2 linked regions of the Macaca mulatta genome follow. The protein of the gene in region 2 interacts with the protein of the main gene of each other region in a pairwise test. Links are inferred from orthologs where the notes say so. Each region holds a gene or a part of one and is shown on either strand. Other genes may lie near its edges.

What was found.
Region 1: the proteins of TRIM32 (region 2) and SCGB1A1 interact in binary tests that used the Homo sapiens proteins (3 or more experiments, as listed by UniProt). The two-hybrid records come from large-scale screens. The link is inferred for Macaca mulatta from reciprocal best matches to the Homo sapiens genes TRIM32 and SCGB1A1.

What each region holds. Positions count from the first base shown.
Region 1 is NC_133419.1:11,645,677-11,649,667, reverse strand, and holds the start of SCGB1A1 (uteroglobin), read left to right. Parts: upstream 1-1,173; 5' UTR 1,174-1,282; coding exon 1,283-1,337; intron 1,338-3,991. UniProt on the Homo sapiens protein: Binds phosphatidylcholine, phosphatidylinositol, polychlorinated biphenyls (PCB) and weakly progesterone, potent inhibitor of phospholipase A2.
Region 2 is NC_133420.1:41,594,672-41,598,826, forward strand, and holds the start of TRIM32 (E3 ubiquitin-protein ligase TRIM32), read right to left. Parts: upstream 2,810-4,155; 5' UTR 2,729-2,809; coding exon 767-2,728; 3' UTR 1-766. UniProt on the Homo sapiens protein: E3 ubiquitin ligase that plays a role in various biological processes including neural stem cell differentiation, innate immunity, inflammatory resonse and autophagy.

The DNA of each region.
Region 1 (3,991 bases), on a different chromosome or scaffold from region 2:
GCTTAGCTTGTGCATAGGTAGAAAGACATGAAAAAACATGGAACATTCTCGAATCCACAAATAGTAAGAGAGGGCTAAGTCGCTGTGTCGGGGAGAGGAGAAGTGAAGTTCAAATGGTAGGCAAAGGCCAGTGGGCAAGGGCCTTGTAAATTGCACTTGAATTTTATTCTATAGGCAAAAGGAAGAGTTTAAGGGTTTCAAGAAGGACATGACCAATGGGCTTTAGGAAAATCATTCCGATGGCCTTTCCGAGGATGGCTGAGGAAAGCAAGCTGGGAAGCAGGGAGGTTGAGTCAGGGGATTTTGACTAGGCCAGGCTAGGTGCTATGAAGCCCGGGCTTTGGAGAAGAACCAGGAAATGGCAACTGGAGGCAAGAAAGGGGAGAAGGCCAAAGCCTGGGAACCATCAACACTCAAGAACAGTAAAGCATAAACATCTAAAGAGAACAAGAAGGAATAGCCAGAGAAGGAAAACAGGAAAGAACTGAGGCGTGGGAGCGCAGGAGAGAGAATGGTTCGAGAAGGAAGCGGTCGCAGGTGTCAAGGCCGTTGGGAGGTCAAGTGAGATAAGGACTGAAGGTCCTGCCAGTTGGCCCATCAGGAGCACAGGACTTGAGAGCACTTCTGGGTGGGAACAGACCCAGCCTGTGGCAGGGCTCGGGTTTCTGATGGGAATTCTGGAAGGGTCCCTTTTGTTCAACAGTCCAGGGCCCCCCCAAGTCTGACCACGGCAATGCTCCGAACCATGTCACTTTCCTGGCTTAAGGTTCAGTCGCCCTCCTCAGAGGGGAGCCTATGAAAGAGCCCAGTGGAGTGTCAGCATCCTAAGTCCTAGTCCTAGTCCTCTCCCTGCCACTTGGGAGGGACCTTGGGCCTCAGTTTCTCCAGGTGGGCTCCACAATTGCTTCTCTTGACCTGGACTGCCCCAGTGCCCAGGTTCAGTGACTGACACAGGCAGCTGGGTTTCCCCATCCTCTGACATGGGTTCCCTTCACTGCCTTCAGGCATGGCTCGGCACTCCACCCCCAAGGGGCCCATTGTGTGAGCTCAGTTTCAATGGGGACAGAAACTGAGTTGAGAAACGGGAATATTTACCTATTCCGCCGAGCCAATGCCCAAGCAAATAGTGCGGTATCTTACGTAGAGCCCTTGCCCTACCCTTCCCCATCTGGGCGCTGCCGCCTGGAGCATATAAAAAGCACCTTGCTGGGCATGTCTCCTACTAGCCCACCAGTCTCAGAGACGGAATCATTGATGGGCCAGAGCATCCCCCGCCTCCACCATGAAACTTGCTGTCACCCTCCCCCTGGTCACGCTGGCTCTCTACTGCAGCTCCGGTGAGTGCTCAGAGTCCCTTCCCTCCCTCCTGGACTTAGGAACTCTCAGGACCACCCAGTTTTGCTCAGAAGAAGGGGTGAGCTGCCCGTGTCTGCTCTGTAGCCGCTGGGAGGACCTGGGCATGCTGAGTCTCAGAAAACTGGGTCTGGTGAGCAAGTTCATCTTGGGAACTTGGAGAGAGCCCCAGGCTGTGAGGAAGCATAAAAAGGGTCCCATCTTCCATATCCAGCAACCCTCAGAATCCCAGGGAATGGAATAGGCTGGAGGGAGGGGTGGAGGACACCTCATAAAGATGAGTGCATCCAGCATAGGAATAATGAGGCCCTCCTCCCAGACCTGGACACACCCCAAGATGCCGAGAACTTGGTGCAGCCTCCAAGTCTGGGGTCTCCACTCCATGCTGACAGCTGAAGTCACTGGAAGGGGAGCTGCAGGGACTCATGACCCCAAAAGAAACCCAACCCAAGACAAGGTCTCTCATTCTGGGCACAGAAGAATATTCCAGAAAGAGATCTTCCCTTTGGGGAACTGCCAACCCAGAGTGGAGTTTTCTAAACATTTCTGTCCTCTGCAAAAGGGATTAGGAGTCTCTGAGTAGTTGCTGCTGTCATTAAAAGGAAAAGAATTGTGGGGGAAAGAGGGGTGGACAGAGAGAGGGAGAGAGGGAGAGAGGGGAGAAAGGAAGGAAGGAAGGATCACACCTCTCTCCAAGATCCCCCGTCTTTGGAGAACTGGGTTATCTAACTCTGTTTTTCACTCTGCATCAGCCTCTTCCATTCTCGTCTGAAAATGTTGTTGTTGTTTTTTAATAAATAAACTCCAATTAATTCACTTGGAAAGCTTCACAGCACCCATGGAGATAAGTTTTATGACACTGGGGAGTTAGAAAACCCAAACCAAGAAGCAGTAGGAACAACTATTTTGCAGCAAGGCTTATTTGTTTTTCAGAGAAAATGACATCATCTTGGACTGAAATGTGTATTAATTAGATCTCAGTGCTGTCTGCGTACAGAGGTGGGTGGCTGAGCAAGATAGTTCTGAAACATGTTAAGGGGTGGGTCAGATGCATTTCATTTGTCTATTTGTGTGCGCACACATACAATATTTAACACTTCACGCAATGTGACAATCACTGTCACCCTTTCACATAGTATCTCTTTTCTTTTTTCTTTTTTTTGAGATGGAGTCTAGCTCTGTTGCCAGGCTGGAGTGCAGTGGCACACTCTCAGTTCACTCACTGCAACCTCCGCCTCCCGGGCTCAAGCGATTCTCCTGCCTCAGCCTCCCAAGTAGCTGGGATTACAGGCACGCACCACTGTGCCCAGCTAATTTTTGTATTTTTAGTAGAGACAAGGTTTCACCATGTTGGCCAGGATGGTCTCGATCTCTTGACCTCATGATCCGCCCGCCTAGGCCTCCCAAAGTGCTGCGATTAGGCGTGAGCCACTACACCTGGCCTCTCTTTTCATTCTTACAACAACTCTATGAAGTAAGGATACTGGGCCAGGCACAGTGGCTCACGCCTGTAATCCTAGCACTTTGGGAGGCCAACTCATTTGAGGTCAGGAGTTCAGGACCAACCTGGCCAACATGGTGAAACCCTGTCTCTACTAAAAATACAAAAATTAGCCAGCCATGGTGATGCATACCTGTAGTCCCAGCTACTTGGGAGGCTGAGGCAGGAGGATCACTGAACCTGGGAGGCAGAGGTTGCAGTGAGCCGAGACGGCGCCACTGCACTCCAGCCTGGGCAATAGAGCGAGACTCCGTCTCAAAACAAATAAATAAATAAAAATAAAATTAAATTAAAATTTAAAAAATAAAAAATAAAATGAAGTAGGGATATTGTTCCCATTTTACAGATGAGAAAACTGAGCTACGGAAAGACAGAGTGACTTGCCTGGTGACATAGTAAGTTACAAAGCAAGGACCTAAGTTCTGGAGAGGGTCTGACTTAGAGTGGCCCTTTCTAGAGAGGCCCTGGAGTCGGAGGAGGGAAGGCAAATTTGTACGGGAGGCAGAGAATTCAAGGACAAGGGATTTAAGACTCACTGGGAAGATGGAGGCAAGCAGGGGGTAGAAAATGGTGACTTTCCCCCATGTTCCTGATTGTAAGGACCTGAGAAGAAAACACAGTCTTGAAGCTCTGTGTGGAAGGGAATGCAGCGGTACAAGTGGCTGCTCTGTCCATGAGCTGAGTGTGCCACACTTCCCGGCCAGGTTGGGAGGCCCATGTTTGGCTGGTACAATCACAATGGCTTCTTCCTTTTTTTTTTTTTTTTTGAGACAGAGTCTCACTCTGTTGCCCAGACTGGAGTACAGTGACGAGATCTCGGCTCACTGCAACTTCTTCCTCCCGGCTTCAAGTGATTCTCCTGCCTCAGCCTCCCAAGTAGCTAGGATTATAGGCACCCAGCACCATGCCCAGCTAATATTTTGTATTTTTAGTAGAGACAGGGTTTCACCATGTTGGCCAGGCTGGTCTGGAACTCCTGACCTCGTGGTCCGCCCGCCTCGGCCTCCCAAAGTGCTGGGATTACAGGTGTGAGCCACCGCACCCGGCTTACAATCGCTTCTTCCTGCCAGAGCCTGAATTTGTCACATGCCCGCAGTGAAGCATGGCTCAGGGCATCCCTAGCCACTGAGGAGAGGC
Region 2 (4,155 bases):
GCTTATTCCTAGCTTCCTATGCTTTGGCATAATTCCAATCCATATTATGCTTCTTTAAAAGGCAAGCAATTTCCAGGCTGAAGTCGTCAATACCAACCAACTAGGGTCAATCCATTCTGTCACATCTGCAGTTCTCAATCCAAGATGGCACAGATCCTCCAGGCGAGAGGTACTGCTTCCTAAAGGGCCTGTGTATCCCCTTTGGTAGCACTAAATGAATGAGCTTTCACACTGGTAAAGACGATCAGACTGAGACATAATGTTACAGGAATATGTCTGAAATGTCACTGAAAGGTGGAGCATATCCCACTGAAGCATGCACAGTGAATCCAATCAGAGTTGAAGAGAAAGTGTCACAGATGAAGCACATTGTAATAGGAAGGAAACAATGGATCAAGGGCATCAGAGCCAAACGGGAAAAAATCAAGGATTTAATACAAGGGCACATTTCAAACATGGCACAAAGGGCTAAAGTGGCTCTCTCTACTAAAGCCTTGGAAGTGCCTAATTGCTAATCAAACTTCAGCTAACACCATTGCGTGTCCTATTTGGGCAGTGCATCTTTTAAAGCTCTAAATTTAGGTGGGAAGTGGGGAGGGGAAAATAACAAATAAAAAACATAAAAAGATGGAGCTTCTAAAGTTCTAGAACTACCCAGCTGGAATCAGGACATATGCCGAGTCTATTCTCTATGTGCCACTAACAACCAAGAACTATGGGAAGGGAAGCTGGCTTGGGAGCAGAAGAAAATGATATTTCTCATCCCCTATGGGGTGGAGTATCTTCTCAGATGGTAGCTGTAGATCTTGATGCAATGATCCCAACAGTCCAAGACCAGCAGCTGCCCCTTAGGAGTGAGGGCTATGCCCACCGGACAAGTAAGTCCCTCTCGAATAAGGACACTATAGCCCCCACCCTTAGGAAAATGGAGAATTTCCTTGCGACTACTGTCAGCCACAATGAGATCACCACGAGCATCCACACACATGCCAGCAATGCAGCGGAAATCCTCATTCTCCGAGAAGAAGTGGCTAATCTGGCGACCCAGCTGCCCATCGGGACCTACAGAACCAATGGAAAAGCCACCTTCCAGGTGGTGCTCATTCTGTCGATTCTCCAGATTGAGGCCTAAGCCCTGGGTGAAGTAGACGGTGCCCTCAGCATCACAGGTGACAAATTTGGGCCGCACAGCACTGCACAGGCAGCTGTATTTGACCACCCCTGATCCTCGATCAACTGTGAAACACCAAAGCTTTCCACCTTCCACATCAGTTACTACAAACTGGCCAGATGGCAGGGCTGTGATACCCCATGGTTTGCTCAGCTGGCTCCTGTGACAGGCCACACAGTGGCCATCCAAGGTATATACCTTGAGGGAGTTATCATAGCTGTCAGTCACACCAATCAGCCCCTGGCAGTTCATTGCCACTGAGAGAGGAGTGAGGTTGGGTAGATCCGCCCCAAGAAAGCTTAGCACAAAGCTATCAATGCCACTGGGGCTGCGGCGGATTTCCTTCAAAAAGCCTTTGCGGGTAAAGACTTGTATACGATAGTTACCACGGTCAGCAACTAGCACTTCACCTTGACTGGTCACGTAGAGACTGACTGGTAGATTGAACATTCCTGGAGTGCTGCCTTTGGCCCCCATCTTCTTGAGAAAGAGGCACTGCTGGATATTGGAGGCTGCCTCAGGACCCCGCTGTTTAGCAGGTGAGGCCCTAGGGCTGGCAACCACTTCCTCCGGGCTCATGTCCATCTCTCTAAATGTAACAGAGGTAGAAGCAGCAGAGGCTGCCGCCTCCATGGCCCAGGAATCTTCCATGTTAACTGTCCGGGGCTTCTTAACAGCTTGCCCAATTTGGAGGGGGCCAACATGACCTACCTTAAGGAGCTCCACATCTTGCAGGGTGAGCTCCCGAGGTAAGCTGGCAGTAAGCTCTGGCTCCTCCTCATCAGCTGTCTCCTCCAGGAGTGCTACATCTGCTTGCTTGATCTTGGCCAGGAAGTAGTCACAGCGAGACACAGCCTGCACCTCTGCAATGTTAAGAAGGTAACTCTGCTCCTCTACCACTTGACTATTGGACTTCTCAACTTCAGCCAAAGAGCCTGTGAAGAATTTCCGAGAGCGAGCCAGCTCATCCTGGACCCTGCGTTCCTCGTGTCCATACTCCTGGAGAACTGCTTTATACCTTGCCTGAAGGTCCTTGGAGACACCTTCCAAGGCTACCTTCCGCCGCTGCAGCTCCCCCATAAGTTCCCGCAGACGAGTCAACTTCTCTCCAAAGTCCCGACGCCGCTCCTCAGCGGCTTCTTTGACAGGGAGTGTACAGTGGCCAGGAGGCTGATGGTCTGCCTCCCGGCAGGGCTCACATAACACCAAACCACAGCTCCGGCAGAACTGCCGGGGCAGACGCCGCCCACAGGACCGACACATGAGCAGCCCCACAGCCTCGCTGAGCCCAGCTGTATCAATGATCTTTAGCACTGTCAGATTGTCTGTCAGCTGGGTCAAGCTGGTTATGCGGGTAATCTTGCTGCAAAAGGGACAGCGGACACCATTGATGCTACTGGCCAATAGCTTCTCCAGGCACTGGCGGCAGATGGTATGGCCACAGTGCAGGAGCTTGGGACGCAGCTGCTCTTCTGTGAAGGACTCCATGCAGATGGGGCATTCTAGCACTTCCCGGAGGGCATCCAGGTTCAGGTGAGAAGCTGCTGCTGCAGCCATTGCTATTCCTTTGAAGGGTACTGCTAGCACAGCTCAGAACTGAACAGCACAGTATTCATGCCCTAGAGGGTAAAATTCCTGCTAAAGAGAAAAAGAAACCATTATTCATTTTCCTCTGATTATATAAATCAATTCACTCAAGAAACATTTAGAGAATAGCTATGATCAGTCGTTCAGTCATTCACTTACTTAACTATTTTATTGAGGTCTATTATGTGTCATGTGAGGGTGACAGGGAAACAAACAAGACAAAACACTGCATAGAGGGTAATAATTCAGATTCTGGAATCTCAGACACTTACTTAGTTGCATGACCATAAGGAAGTAACTCAAACTTCCAAAAGCTCTTTCCCCATCACTCATCTGTAAAATAGAAAAATGGTGTCTACCTTATTCTATTATTGTAGAACAATCTATTATTGTAGAATAATGGTTATTGTAAGGGCTAAATAACAAGATAAATATGATGTGCTTAGTATATAGCACCAGGGAAGTAGTATACTTTAATAAATGCTAATGATTACTTTCATATTTGGTGAGTTTTACAACTTACAGTTTACACTAACAGAAAAGCACAGGAGAATTACGCACAGTAAAAGGAGTAAGTGTGACATGCAGGTCCACATAATGTTCTGCTGGAGTACAGTGGATGGAATGATAGATTCCACCTAACAGACTTGGGGAAGGCTTCCCAAAAGCAGTTTCACTCCTAAGATAAAGAAATGAAGGACTGAGGGATAAAGGTACTTTAAGCAAAGAAAACCATGTAAGCAAAAGTGTGGAGGCTGTTTTTTTTTTTTTCATCATGTCATAGAGTTTACTGTGTCATGTTTGGGGCCCTAGGAATCATCCACAGACTTAGAAAATTGTGATGATTAGCTTTAGGTAATCTGCAAAACATTAGATCAGAAAATACACATTTTCCATGCATCTATCCTCCTACCTACTCATCTATCCACCCATCTAAGTTTAGGTATCTTGTTCTGTACTAGATACAAGAGGTCTTCAGGATACAGATCCTGCTCTTCAGATATTCAAACTTTATAAAAGACAAGACATGTAGGCAAATAATAATGAAGGCAGAAAGTAGTACTATAAATGAAATAAAAACTAAGTTTGATGGGGGTTGAGGAGTCATTCTAATTTGAAGGGACACAGAATTTTCAAAAGGAAGATGACATTTTATATTGGCCTGGAAAGAAGCATAAACACACGGAGAGGGAAGAAAGGAGGCGGCAAAAGGCACAACCTTAACAAAGTTTAAAAGGCAAAGGAAAGGACAAGAAGTTTCATGTATTAGGAAGAAAACAGAGAATATTTAAAATCTATGCATTTTATTTTCTCCATCTTTAAAATAATAATTTTTAAAATAATAAAGACAGTGGAAATAATACTGTCTTTACAGAGTTAATGTAAGAATTAAATAA